Linked DNA regions of Daphnia pulex. The protein of the gene in region 1 interacts with the protein of each later gene in a pairwise test. Links are inferred from orthologs where the notes say so. Each region holds a gene or a part of one and is shown on either strand. Other genes may lie near its edges.

Region 1 (6,612 bases):
TTAATAGATTACGTTACGCTAACTGCAATTGGTATTAACTTGTAGTCATTGTATTTCAACCTTAAGGAGGGATTCAGCTCTTCAGTCGTGTAAAGTAGTTAGACAAACATAGTCAACATTAGAACTGAAAGTTTAAAGATTCATGGAGAATGTGGCAATGGAACGACTATTCTTAGCATTATCGACATAGAGACGCCACTCCCTGCGGTTGAAATCAAAAATTCCAGTAGCGATCGTCAATACGATATCCTTCTCCGTTCCGCGACGGTAAATCGGATAATCTTGATCATCGTCGTTGGACAGCATGTCTACAACCTCTCCGATATTAGTAGGTAAACCCAGAGTTTCCATTACATGATGGCGACCGTTACTGCTGAGTACAGCCAAACCGTTATGATCCTCGTTGATCTTCAGTCGCAAGTATCTAATCGATGTAAATAATTTGTGGTAAAATTGTGCTGAACATTGTTTGAAATTGTTGTATACTTATTGCAGCGAACATGACTCTCCCCAGGCGAAATAGTCAAAATGGACAGTTGCGACTCGTTATTCTCCGCAGGTCCTACTTCAGCGCTGTGAAAGAGGATTGGTCCTTCCTGTTTTGGTATATTGATTAATGCCAAATTTAACTAACTTTTCTGATAATTTATTATTTTACTTGTTTCATGAACGACATGTTGACGCAAAATCCGTGAGCAGATCCGGTTCCTCTGTCACGAAGAATGGCCTGAGCGTCGACCAAATTCCGAGCGCTAAGCATCGCCCTTGTCAGGAAATGACGCGCTGAAAAAAAAAGAAGGAACGCAAGTCTAAACTAATCAAACGAAAATTAATTTAATTATCAAGTACGTGTTTTGTCATTATGGACCCTGACAGGTTCTATAATATTGATGGTGTAAACGAGACCGTGCTCATTAATATTCATGCAGAAGCCAGGCAAGTGCCCAGCGTAACAAAGCGACGAGAATCTCTCATGACGTCCACATTTTTCGGTAATATCAGCGTGAACGATGTACAGATGGTTGAGAGTTACTGCAAAAGCGTCTTCCGTGTGTCCCAAAACCACCTAAAAGTAAGATCATTTTTCTTTTAAACTTTCACTTTTATAATTAGTTGAATTAGAACTTGCGTTTTCGTGGTTGCACATGACGCTCGAACAACCGTTTCCTGATAGTTGAGATGACGACGAGGCCTCTAATATCATGCTATCGATGTGCAGTAGCATCAACTAAATAGACAATGTTGGAAAATTATTAACATCCACTTAAAAAGTATTTGAAACTGGACCTTGTAAAAGGGCACTTGACTGCCGTCAGAAATTCCTTGCAACTCATTGACGTAATAAGGGAACTTGGCTTTCATTCGAGCTAGCGTGTCGTCGTAGATTTTCAGTCCAGCAACTGTGTTGTAGGCTGGCAACAGCTCGTCGTTCAAAAATTTCGAGTCTCGAACTAGTTCTTCTATCTGATGTTTAAAAGTGTGGCCCTGTCGGATAGTTGAAAAGTCAAGTTAGAAAGTCTAGGATTGAATTTTGTTTTCCTCTTTTTCTTACCACATCGTAGCCGACTTGATAGAATGTTCCTCGAACGTAAATAACTGGTAGGAAAATTCGGTTTTCCATGTTGCTCTCTCGAAAGATGAAGCGGAAATGGATCCAGTCGTCTTTTCAAAATGAAAGCGTCCACAAGAATCCTTACAACATCGGTCAAGTTTTAATCTTGTTAAGGGCCAAACACGTAAGAAATAATCCACTTTTGTGAGCCAAAACTCATTTCATTTCGGTGCACTTTGCGCATGTTTCTTTTAGAAGTTATTAGCCGGAATAGAAAATTTGCAAATTAGAGAATTCCTTCTTACCAAATAAATTACTTCTCGCGCACTAATAAAACTGACGCCAATTTCTTTGGTCCACCTTCGCGCGTTGTTGATAGTTTTTATATAATCTTCTTACGTGTCGTTATAATACAGATAGTATCGTTGACACAGCGCTTTGATAAAAACAAATCCCGAAGACGTGCGTCACCAAAGTTTAGATAAATCGCAAATAACTGAGCTGTGATTTAACTTGCAATAGCTCGAGAGAATTTCTTGATAAATGTGAAGCCACTTTTCCGCTTACATTACACCTATGTGTATGTATATGTGGATTTCACTTACGCATTTGTTTAACCGGAATGTGAAATCAAAATAATTTATTATAATAATCCTTTGTCTTTCATCAGACGTATTAGGTAATAGATATCTTTATCTGTTTTCAGTCTGACATAACTAAAAAAAAAATTGTATAGTTCTTGTCCCATCCTCATCGATGCTAATTAAATTACAAATTTGCAAGTATAGGCAGATGGTGATACCATGTGACCACTTTGTTTAAAGGAAGACCGCCAGTTGTTGTACCTCTCCACCGAATTTGTATGGGCCGGTGTAATGTTACACTGTCGCAGTTGAGCACTAAATCGGGTTGGATTTTTAATCGAACGGAAGATGGACGCCTTACGACACATTTCCTTTCGGCGGAAGACTTATGGAGCAGATAAGAAAAGAAATTACAGGTACGCTGCTTTGCCCATATTATTTTCAAGGTTGTGTAATTCTTTTGTTTGGTGAAGGATTATGAATAAGTTCCGGCCAATGAAAGACTAAACAAAAGCAAATGTTAGAAATATTTATGTCATGGCACACATTTTCTTTAAGGGCTAAGAGTACTATAACAGTAATACTGTTTCCGATTTTTTGCGCACAACTAACAAATTAATGATTTTATTGAATTTAATAGGTATAATTGGGTATGCATTTTGTTGCTGTTGGTATGGCAGTTTGCAAGAATTTCTTCACCAAAATGTAGCACCTCCATCCGAACCACCAGTGAAAAACCGATCCTGTCTTTGACCTAATACTACATTATGCCCAGATCCGTGCGCCAACTGGGCAGCATTGGGTGCAACACCAGGAGGAGGTGGAGGAATCCTCACTTGTGACGTTGAATCGAAACGCGCACCAGCATCGAATGCTTTCTAATTAATTATTTTAAATAAGAATTAGTATAAAACTTTGACAATTTAACTGGTTGAACTAAGAAATGTAATATGTACTCACTGGAACAACAAAAGTAGCTTGAGGATGGACTTGCTGCACATGTACTTGGGGTTGATGGGGTTGATGGGATTGATATGATTGATAGGGTTGATAGTAAGGCCCTGGGGCATTCATGGGCACTTGCTGCTGCTGCTGGATATGCTATAGAAAAATAAGTCTTGTTTATAAAATTTACTAAAGAAATGTTTATAATTAAACATTTCTTACCTGAACTGGAATGTAAGATGCATTATAGTTAGGTGGGGCAACTGGGTGGTGCATTGCTTGATCATAACTTGGTGGTGGTGGCGGCATTCCAGACATAACCGGCACATAGGGATTGTAAGGACTGGAGGCAACTGCTACAGCTGGATTCACCATATTGTTTCCAGGTGGGTACATTGGGTATGGCAATTGTGGAGGCCCTACAGGCTGCTGCTGCTGCTGTTGTGTTGGATAAGCTGCTGCTGATTGACATTATTGAAAAGTAAGGAAGTTTTTTTTTAAACTGTTATAGCCAAATGTATCCTAATACATCATGGTACTACTTTATATGATTAAATCTTACCCTTTTTTTCATTCTTCTTTGGCATTTCTTCAATTTGCTGATGGGTTACTTGGACTAGAGTGAATGTCAGCTATGTATTTTTGCAGAACTGATCCACTTCTTAATAAGAAACGTCAGCAACTAGTGCGTCAGTACGTGTTCTAATAACGTTTTTGACTCACGATTGGTAATTTTTTTGTTGCGCAAGCAGACGTTATCAACAGAAAACAAACAGTTGATAACATAAACGTTGCCATATTTTGAATCAGTATCGATTTCTTTTAAAATCATTTCCGTTGCGGTCTCAAAAGTCAAAACCAGCTTACAGTCAACAAGTTTTATTGGAATACTATATTTTTAGAATGATTTAAAATTGAAATAACAGTGTATATGATAACAAAAACAACTCATGTCAAGGTGTTGTATTTTTCTAGGTACTTGGTATTCCCGGAGATTCGTCCGGACTTTCGAGGCTGATTCCCATTCTACGTAAGAAACAATGCAAAATATTTGAGGCAATCACAACTGAAGACATGCAAGGGGTGATGATGTAGTGTAATTCTATAAATCGCGAATTGCCAGACGTACAAGAGGAAGACAGAAGTTAAGATAAAGGCAAGGGAGGGGGCATCAGGGTATTGTAATTTCACACTTCATATTCAATCCGAGGTAGGCATGTACTTGAGACGAACAAATCAAAATACATCACAATTTCGTAAATGAGATGAAGTAGTAACACTGCTTGTTAACTTCAAGTTCGAAATTAAGGGCGACATAATAAAAGATAAGTTCGTGGATTAAAGCCTAAATGGGATTAAGTAATTTCACACTTATTATAAAATTTGAAGGAGACACGTAACTTAATTGAATGGTAATTAAGTCAAGAATGGCCATCTAAAAAAAAATTAAATTAAAAGACAGCGAGGGGCAAATTTGATTAAGCGAAAGACGATCACTGTTGGCCAGCGATAAATTTCTACTTTTCCTGAGTATCTACTAACGGTGAGAGTAAAAATGGCAGTTTTTCGTGTGCGTATTGCAGTCTGTATAAGAGATCAGGATTGCAACCGTGTTCAGCCAGCAAAGAAAATTTGAAGGTACGGAAATTTTTCTTCTCGTCGATGACTGTCACAGCTCCCATGAGTGGACAGAGGATCAATTTAACGTGGTCTTTAAAGTAATTAATCTAGTAACACAAAAAGTTAATTATTGATTAAATGAACAAAATAGACTTGATGAGATAACTTTACCTGTAGCGTTCCACTCGTTAGGTGCATGACGACAGCTCGAGATGTGCGGAACCACTGACGTAGGAAAGGCAACCGAAGATGTTCATCACCGTCACGTGGAACAACGGATGCACCAGTCTTGATTAAGTGCTCTTGCATGTAAGAGCGGAAATATGCGAGCAGTTTCACCTTTTTACCCAAGGTAGGCGGATGTTGATCCATAGTGTAATACAACTCATTTCCATTGCGTTCGACGTACTGAATGGTCCTATTGCAATTATTGTAGTTGGCATTTAGGTCTTAATTATTAATAAAAAGTAAAACTCTTACTTTGCGTCAACCAACAGCAAAAGTTTCGTTAAATCATTGAAAATGACACCAATTGTATCATCGCTGAGTTGGTAGCCGAACCCGTATTTGTCAGAATAATCTACCCATTTAGAAATCCATACCATAGGCACTGAACCCGGATCCTCTGCCTCGTCTGAGATCAACAATTAAATAAGTTAAAGCAATTTTAATAATATTTAAATACTTTAAACACGCACCCATCATAAGAGGGAACTTCTCCGCAGGTTTTGCACTGAAGAGGCGGGTGAGCTGTTGCTGAAGCTCACGCAATAGTTTCTCAGGAGAAGGTCCAGCCGTGTAGAGGGCTCCGGCATTCTCAGCATGGTTAGGTTCGTTGGAAGGCGCCAATCCATCTCCTAAACAAAGCAAACACACACACACAAATTTATTGTTAGTATCTGCTCCAATGTGTTGTTTGGAAGTGTTTGAAGAACCTTGTGGATGCTCAGCAGTTCCAGGTAAATGGACTCTGTTAACTTCGCCCAGTGGACGACGAACAGCAATAATGCTGCTATTCAATTTGGCATCGAATCTCGGAGCCATCGTGAGGCATGATAAAGGCAAGCGTGTTGGCATATAACCACATGTCATGAATTCGTCATTCAAAACAATATCGACCGCAGGTCTAGATAGATAATTCTGAAAATCTTTAAAATTACACAACACTAATATCAAGTTATTATACCTGCAGGTTGGTTCACCCTGTAACATTCGAGTTATAAGAGCACGGGCAAGAGGCCCGATCCGAGAGGGAATATGATATTCATTTCGTTTGATTTTACTGTATGTATCTTTGAGAGACTGCGTCTCAAAAGGTGGACGACCAACAAGTAAAGTATACCTGAGGATTTAATACAAAAGTGAAGTTATATTTTAAAAAGAATAAGAAAAAATAGGTCTTACAAAATGCAGCCCATTGACCAAATGTCAACTTCAAAGCTATGGCCTTTTTTGTTGAGAACCTCTGGAGCAATATAGTTGGGAGTACCACAAAGTGTTCTAAGTAAAAAAATAAAATAAATTATAAACAATTCCATGCAGCTACACTTGGTTGCTGTTACTTTTTTCTCTCTCCACTAAAATCTAATTTTGTTGCTAAACCAAAATCTCCAATTTTAAGTTCCATGTTATCATTCAGGAACAAGTTCCCAAGCTTGAGATCCCTGTGAATCATTTTGTTTTCATGAAGGTATTTTACACCCAATAGAAGTTGGTGCATGAAATATCTTGCTTCTGGTTCAGTTACAGCTTTCCTTCTTTTGTGCAATTCCATTAGACTCTATGGAATACGAAAAAACTGTTTCAGTAAATTGTCAGTTTAATTCTGCTAACAAAGACTTACCCTTCTTTTGCACAGTTCCAACACTATATATACAAAGTTATTATCTTCAAAGAAACTGTGAAATCCTA
Region 2 (7,984 bases), on another chromosome or scaffold:
CATTCACGAGGGCGAATGTCGCTTTACGAAGACCGATGCGCGCGTAATTCACGGCACTCGATGGGTTCTCCTGTTGCCAATTACAGCCTGGCTCGGCACGAAATCTAAAACTAAATGCCTATTTATGTGAATCGCAGAAAAATGTTCTGAAACTACGAATGTGAAAATTTGGTGGCCTTGTTCAAATTTTGGCAGTTGCTTAAGATTTTGAAATTGTTGAATGCACTTTGTACCGATCACCTAGTCGCGTTAATAATGTTTATCGTGTAAAAGTTGTGTTACATACCTGATTTTTAAATGTGTCAAGGCATTTCCGCAGTTAAGCCTTATTGAGAAGTTATTGTTAAAAATACTGCGTTGTATACGTTTCTGCATTGCAATCATATCTTCTCGTTTTGTTCAACTGAGCTTTTAATTGTTCATCATTGGTGTTTATTTCAACATGCCACTCAATAGAATATATTCGAGGATGGCTGTATAGGAAATTTATGTATTTGTGTTTCTCTTATTTTCAAGAGTTATGCTCACAATATTTTAGAGTATTGAATAACCGTCGTCCATAATGTTGTCTTCTTGTAATCGAAAAATAGACTTCATTGTTATAATTTTTATCCTTTTTCACTTCATTAACTCGACATATATAAGGTAATAAGTGTATTTTTCCAGATATTTCCAGATATTGATCTGTCTTTCCACGACGGATGCAATTCAAAAGTTAGGACAAAAAATCTCCCTCCAATAAACGCTTGAGGTAAAACTAACTTTTACGACGGCGTACGCGAAGGTGAGCGTGACGGTGAACGAGAAGATGGGCTAGAAGAACCCGATTCTCCCTGCGCAGCATGGCGTCGCATACGCTCTCTAAAGAATTAAAAGAACAAAATTGTTAGCTTTTAAGCGAAAATATTTGTTATGGTACAGCATTTACTTTCGACGTAAGCGTAAAGCAAGCTCGCGCATTTCTTCCTCGCGATTCATTCTGTATTTGTTTAACAAAGTTTGTTTTTATTATTGAACGGAAAATAAGTGTTTAAATGTACATTAACGAATATTGTTAATGCCCAAATTTTACCTTTCCTGTTCTACTTTTTGTAGTTTTTCCTTTTCAGCCCGTTTATCCGCCTTGTCTGTAACAATATCAACATATCAATCTAGTCATGGAAAGCTTTATCTAGCAATAACAACGTACATTGTTTGTTGAGAGCTGCTTGCATCTTGCGCTTTAGTCGTTCCTGTGGCGTCATTGTATTCTATTTTAAAATATTGCGTGGATATTAACATCTTTCAAAAAGGCACGTGAACTCGAATGACTAAAATTAGTAAAAAGGCAGGACTTTTCTTTTAAATAACTTAATAAATCTAACTGTCTTTGCAACATTTACAAGTAACACGAAAAATACTCCTTAACAATAGATTCTGACACTGCAAATATTGATATCTTACTGACTTTGGTTGCACCAGTGCCTCTACCACTAGAACCTGTCACTGATGGAGTTGAAGGCCTGAAAAAGAAATATAGTGTACAGCTCTTCAGATTAACATAAGGAAATGATAAGATACTTTGATGCTGAATTAGAAGCTGTAGGTTTGGATGGCGACGTAGACTCTCTGTCCGAGAGAGACGAATCAGAGTCGCTCTTTTTTCGACCATAATAGCGACGTACAGGAGGAGCAGGTAATGGGTTAGATATTTGGGGTGGACTAAAATGGCGTGTTTCTCGAGCAAGTGAGGCATATGACGGAGGTGGACGAATGGGAGAAGAGGAACGACGGATTGACTGACGAGATGATGAGGACCGTGAGGACGATGAGCTTGATGAAGACGATGACGATTTTCTTCGACTGCGCTCACTAAAAATTAAAAATTAATATTCAAATTTTACGAAGGAATTTAATCGTGAAATTAATTTTGTACCGAGGCGGAGAGCGATTCCTTTGCCGTCTGCTACTTCGCGGCGAATACGACCGAGAGCGTGATCTTGAATGACGAGAACGACGACGAGATCTTGAGCGCGAACGTGAGGAACGATGACGTGAACGTGATCTTCGGCGAGAGCGAGACCTAGAACGCTCATTTTTGTAGTAAGATCCGGATTTTTTATCTTTTCTGGATCTAGAAATGGAAGGTGATGGGGATCTGGCACGATGATCTCCCGAACGGGAATGTCGTTTGTCATTTACTTTAGTTGTGTCACGACCACTGTTTAAAGGACGACCACCCCTGTCTCGAGCCAAAAAAGTTGTGGAGGCAAATGGCCGCTTATTTGGTAAATCTTTATCGCGAGTTTTGTTCGGAGACCGAGAGCTAATTGTTTTCCCTCCTGGATCCGAATCTTCGTCACCAAAAGATGTGATAAATTTGATTCCACCTTCGAAGGGTGAAGGAGAACGTGACTTGGACACTGATTTCGAGCGGCGAAGTTGTCCATCGTAAGTTGGGCTAGCTCGTGTAGCGTAACTAAAAACATCACGAAAGAAAACGAAGCAAACAAGAATGTTGAATAAGAAAGGAAAAAACAAATTGTTCAAAAATATGAACGTAAAATTATGCAGGGTGATTTTACCTTGGAGGACTCAGACATCGATTCATAAGCAATGCTTGCAGCTTTTGCTCTCTAAACGCCCGTCGCTCTTTCCTTGCTTTTCTCCCCTAGGATTTTTTGTCTAATAGTTAGTTATTAGAAACTAAACCTGAAATATTTTTACAATATTACAGAATACATGGCCCGTTCTTGTTCTTCCTCTTTAGCGATTCGTAATGACTCTTGCTCATCCAAATCACGAGTGAGTAGTGACATGAAGTCCTGCCGGCCTAACCCATAGTGAAGTGCACATTTGTTGACTTCGTGCATTTGCTCAGTTGTCAATTTATCGACAGCAATTGATAAATCTACGAGATCATCAATGTCTTCACAGATATTTTCGATTATTTGATTGTATTTGACTAATATTACCCAAATCAATGTCGCTATCGGATTCTTCTTCTTCAGTCGCTTCGGGAGGAACCACGGGAATATTATGCGAAGTTGATGCTGCGGCTGACGAGGATGGCGTGGAATCGTCATAAGTGAACCCAATGGCCGCTTTCTTCGGCGCAAGCATTTTTTTCTTTTCCTCTTCACCTAACTTTTGAACTGGTCCGAATTGCTCTTCAAGCAATATTTGATGTAGAAACTTTTCCTCTGAAACTAAAAATGCATATTACACAAAAAACTAGTTAATGAAAAGAAAGCATAGAAAACAAAAGTAAAAAGTCCTCCAGGCCTTACAAGTTCTTACATATATTCTGTCTAGGTCAACATTCATTATTGCTATCTCTCGCAATCGACAAGGCTGAAGGAGAAAAGGGTTTTGTCAAACACGGAGGTACCGTTCGCATGCATTCGTCTTCAAGAAAGCGAGCAGCGTGGTTGAAGTTTAAGCGGCCTTGCACAGTGAAAACGCCAACTGTCTCGTTAGTCAGAGAGAGCGCGATTTTAGTGCCAAGAAAAAAAAGGACGAAACGAAAAGAAATAATCAAGAACGGATTCCAGTGTGGCATTATCATTCCTACTTTCTAAAGAAGATCTACGGAATCTGTTTTTCGTCAATCTCAGTTCTGGGGGTATCGCGGCATAACCTGTTCTTTTAAACTTCAATGGTGATGACAGCTTCTGTTCTCCAGGAAAGTGGAGAAAAACAGACTAAAATACAGAGATCGAACAATAAACTTATTTGCTGTTCTTTGCGATTGATGGTGAAAACATAGAGCTTTTTAATGGAGATCAGGGAAGCTTGTCCTTCTTGTCCATTCCGGATTAAGGTAATAAATATTTATTATAAAATTTAGTCTGGATATTCAAGTTATTCACCCTTTTCTTTTCAGAGTGCACTAATAGCAAAATTCATCATTCTACTTCTTGTGACAGCAACATTAACTGAAGGGGCGCCTATTCCCGGTCACTATTTGGAGGAAACACCAGGAGAGGATCGGTCTTACCATATTCACAATTTCGTGAAGAGAATGCATAAGCTATTCAGTTTAATACAGTTTACAATAAGGCATAATCTTGGCATGTTTTGAAAAATGTAAATTATTGTCCATACAAACCACTGAGTGATTTCAGTCAACTGATTTTATTTTCTAAATGTATCTTAAGAACTTTGAGAGATGTCTTACCTCCAATAAATTCATTTTGTACAAGGATTCTGTATCTTTCATAGCTCGCTTGTCTTTCTTCCCACACCTCCTCACCAGGATCCTGATCAGTGTCGCTGTCATCTTTTTGGGGGCGACAAGGAATAACATCTAGATGTGCTCTAACATCAAACCGGTCAATCAAGATTTCTGGTTGTCCTTGCCAAGGCATCCTGTAAAAGTAAGTTTTTTGGGCAAAGTTAATAGGTACAGAGATCCAAGATATTTAGAGCCCTCATTATACATTGTAGCAGGACTGTCCGCTATAGCTGCTATTGCTGGATCAACATGAATTTTCATGGGGCGACCATGAACTTGAAGGAATTGGGCAGGATCTCCTTTCTAAAAATTGTAGCATTAATTTTTTTTTTAAATTTTGTGGGTGGAAAAAATAAAATTATTAAGCTTGTTATATTGTTGACTGACTGTTTTCTCATAATATTCTCGACGCCTTTCAGCTCGCCTTCGGTGATCTACCATCCTTAAATTGAAAAAGAGCTCAGAATTAGAAAGCCAAGGACATCTAATGCCATTTGCACATACATAGACTTCAGGAGACGCTCCTGTTTTCGTGCTTCATGCCACATGTTGATGGGTCGAAATCTTCGTTTTCAGTGAATCCTATACTTTCTGAACTGTATAGAATACGTTTTTACTCACTTATTATCAACAATTCTATATTTTTGAAAAACTTCAAAGTAACAGCAGACTAATCATCCTTCATTAAAATACTCTACAAGATTGGTAGGAGCCACCAAGCGGATCACACAAGTACTATATGCCTTAGGTGTTGCAACAAAAAACAAAACAAATCGCATGTACGCATGTATGCAAAACGCCAAACCCTCGGCCTTAAACTTCAAAATATCAAAACTTTCTCTCCCGACTCCTGTCGTTTCGACAGTCCAACTTTCTAATGTATTAGCAGCTTTTACATCAGTAACTGCAGTGGAAAAATGAGCGTTATAGGAAAAGATTTTTTTTTCCTTTTTAGTTTTTATCTTTTGAGCATATGGTTACAGCATTTTCTCTCGACAACATTTTGTAGGTTAACCGTACGTCACACAGCTTTCACATTTCTCAATTTCAACTTAGAGAATACTTATTAAGTAATAAAATGGTCCGTTAATTTATGGAAAATACGAATAGGTAACAAGAAGAGTAACAATTTTCCTGGTTTACCGATGTCTAATGATGCAAGCTAGCGTTAAACTACAACTAGTGGTTAAATGTGAGATTGGAAATTAACGCAATATTGAGTGAACTAAGTGAAGAACAAAGTCAATTAACGACATTTACCGTTAAATATATGTAGTCAATTATACCACATCAAGATTGGTAAGACTACTTCAAAATAAATCAAGCGTTTGCTCGAGCAAAATTTCAAAAAAAAATAAGACAGCCCAAATAAATCTATTTGCTAAGTATTTCTTCAATTGGATTTCAAATTAAAAAAATAAACTTGCAACTTGCTCATGTATATGATTGATGATGAGTTCCAATGATTCAAAGATGGTCCGGACTCCGGAGAGGTGGAGTCTAACCGCGGTGAGTTGAGAAGAGAATTAAATCAAGAAAATGCCGGCGAAGCTTGAGGTTCCTTTTTGGCACTTGATCAAAAACCTTTTTCTTTGAAAAGGTGAGAGATGGGGTTAATAAACTGTGATGAGACGATTCGGCTGGGAGTCCAACAAAAAAAGATCTTGGACTACAATTAATTTAAAGTTTTTTGGGCTGAATCCCCGCCTCAACCTCAACTCATACTTTCTATACTCATATATCTCTACCACACACCCACCTACCCAATATGACGTCATAGAATAAATGTGAATCTTGCCTGAGTAATTTTTTAGGAACTTCTTTTAGAACTCCAATCCAATTTATCTCCAGTCACTCAAAAGTCTCTAAATCAACCTTGATATGGTGGCATTAGAATAATATATTGAATTCGGTATCCAACAATCGAGTCCTTAAAAACATGATGAATTAAAGAAATTAAGGGTGGCATCGCGGGTTTTTCAGTAATCATTCAGGACACCTTGCATTGTTGACGAAACACCCTATTAAGAAAAAAAGAATCAGGAAAAAATCAAGGAGTTTATCGCAAAATGTGAGTTATTCTATTACTTTTAGATGATCTGAATCGGAGTATGCGACCATTCCATATATTGGCTTCCTGTGGGGGTGATGCTATGAGATTCTCCTTTTGAAAATTACGATTGATTTAGCTTTCAAACTTAAAAAAAAAATTATAATAATAATAATAATAATAGTAATACTCTTAAAATAGGAAATATCAATAACAAGCAAGACAGAAATTCAGCCTGTTACTACTGGAATACGCTGGAGGGATGTAAAATTTTTCTGTGTCAAACCCTCTCCGCATCGAGTTATGCCTAACTTTCCCACTAACGTGAAAACCGCATTGCAAATTTGGATGGTATTGACGCAAAATGATCGCACAATACGACCTTTCTATTATATTGGTACACCGTAAAGAAACAATTAAACACAACTCCAATCCAAAGTCTATTCATTTGCTGAAATTTTATTTCCACGTAACTATCTAGTTTACTATCAAGTTAAATAGCAGACTATACAAATATCCACAGATCGCAAAATTTTTCAATATGGAAACCTTATTACGGATCAAATTTACAGCTTCAAATGTGCTTTTCAAATGTGGGGAAAATTCTAATTAGATGAAAATAAGAAAAATTATAATCAAGTTTGAATACATCTCGTGAAGATGAGTTGGAAAGTTTCGCGTCGCTATATTTATGGCTACAAGCTGGGCACAAGCCACTTCATTTTGAATTCATCATCGGCCAGTTGAAGTTGACGTACGTTACACGCACGCCTTGAAGGTAACCCTAGCGTGAAAAAGTAAAACATATTTTATAGCTTGTTGGCATAAACACATAAACATGTAACCCACCGACTTACACCGGTTTATTTCATGGTGTTGGTTGTCAAAATCAATTAGAAAAATTTCAAAAATCGCTCTCTCAATAAAAAATTAATCTTTTTTGAAAAATATAAACGGCCAAAAAGATAAAGTCTAGGCTACACCGTTTTAATTTTTCAAGATGAGATGAAATTTTTCACGAATTCTTGCAAAAATTTACCGGGAGTTTGTCAAGAAGAAAATGGTAAAATATTCATTGCAATTTGGTCATATTTATGGTTTGATCTCACGTCAAGATTACAAAACTAAAGAAAAAGAATGGTGACCACAAAGTCAAAAAAAAAAATCGCTAGAAAAAAGGGGTTTCTGATTTTAATCGCCAGTGATTTTGACATTGTCGTAGTTATTCGTCATAGCTGAGTTGGCTGTAAGTAAAATGAAGGGCTAAAAACTGGATGACTGAAGAATGTAGTGCTTGGAATGGGAATTTTAATTTCGAAACCATGGACAAAGCATATTGCTTGAGTTCTCCTTGGGAAAAAATCAAGTCATGGAGATCAGTTTTCCAATGGTTTAAGGCTAGTCAGATTTACACATCTTATCCATAAAAAACGGAAAAAGTCAAGCATGCAGACAGCCGCTTTCTCGATTTAAATCTCTGTTGGGCAACTGCCAACTGGTGGTCTTTGCCTCCTTAGGCCTTCAAACCAATCTCTGTCGAAAATAGGAAACTTGTGAAATCGGTATTTTTTTAAATTTCTATCACCTATTCCTGTGCCATCTAGCGTTCACCTCAACACTACCTATAACGTTCAGGAATTTCCCATGAGCAAAAAACGATAAAAATTTTAGTGCGCAAGCCGCAAAGTAAATATTAAATATATAATTGAATATAATTA

Evidence for each region.
Region 2: the proteins of DAZ-associated protein 2-like (region 1) and CLK4-associating serine/arginine rich protein-like interact in a two-hybrid assay, tested with the Homo sapiens proteins (2 studies listed by BioGRID and IntAct). The link is inferred for Daphnia pulex from reciprocal best matches to the Homo sapiens genes DAZAP2 and CLASRP.

Annotation. Positions count from the first base shown.
Region 1 is NC_060021.1:6,408,468-6,415,079, forward strand, and holds DAZ-associated protein 2-like, read right to left. Parts: upstream 3,827-6,612; 5' UTR 3,669-3,826; coding exon 3,644-3,668; intron 3,563-3,643; exon of another isoform or gene 3,543-3,562; coding exon 3,304-3,542; intron 3,238-3,303; coding exon 3,097-3,237; intron 3,015-3,096; coding exon 2,832-3,014; 3' UTR 2,652-2,831; downstream 1-2,651. Other genes in the region: uncharacterized protein LOC124193795, read right to left, coding at 133-424, 487-596, 659-783, 850-1,066, 1,130-1,228, 1,288-1,485, 1,553-1,621; serine/threonine-protein kinase PLK1-like, read right to left, coding at 4,599-4,808, 4,873-5,119, 5,182-5,335, 5,400-5,558, 5,637-6,043, 6,106-6,201, 6,264-6,481, 6,545-6,612. UniProt on the Homo sapiens protein: In unstressed cells, promotes SIAH1-mediated polyubiquitination and degradation of the serine/threonine-protein kinase HIPK2, probably by acting as a loading factor that potentiates complex formation between HIPK2 and ubiquitin ligase SIAH1.
Region 2 is NC_060022.1:6,845,038-6,853,021, reverse strand, and holds CLK4-associating serine/arginine rich protein-like, read right to left. Parts: upstream 5,010-7,984; 5' UTR 4,765-5,009; coding exon 4,721-4,764; intron 4,659-4,720; coding exon 4,604-4,658; intron 4,520-4,603; coding exon 4,422-4,519; intron 4,351-4,421; coding exon 4,160-4,350; exon of another isoform or gene 3,866-4,159; intron 3,803-3,865; exon of another isoform or gene 3,350-3,802; intron 3,189-3,349; coding exon 2,955-3,188; intron 2,891-2,954; coding exon 2,715-2,890; intron 2,651-2,714; coding exon 2,565-2,650; intron 2,459-2,564; coding exon 1,916-2,458; intron 1,852-1,915; coding exon 1,561-1,851; intron 1,503-1,560; coding exon 1,448-1,502; coding exon of another isoform or gene 1,444-1,447; intron 1,251-1,443; coding exon 1,190-1,250; intron 1,128-1,189; coding exon 1,073-1,127; intron 980-1,072; coding exon 929-979; intron 862-928; coding exon 765-861; 3' UTR 640-764; downstream 1-639. Other genes in the region: leucine-rich repeats and immunoglobulin-like domains protein 3, read left to right, coding at 1-108. UniProt on the Homo sapiens protein: Probably functions as an alternative splicing regulator. May regulate the mRNA splicing of genes such as CLK1. May act by regulating members of the CLK kinase family.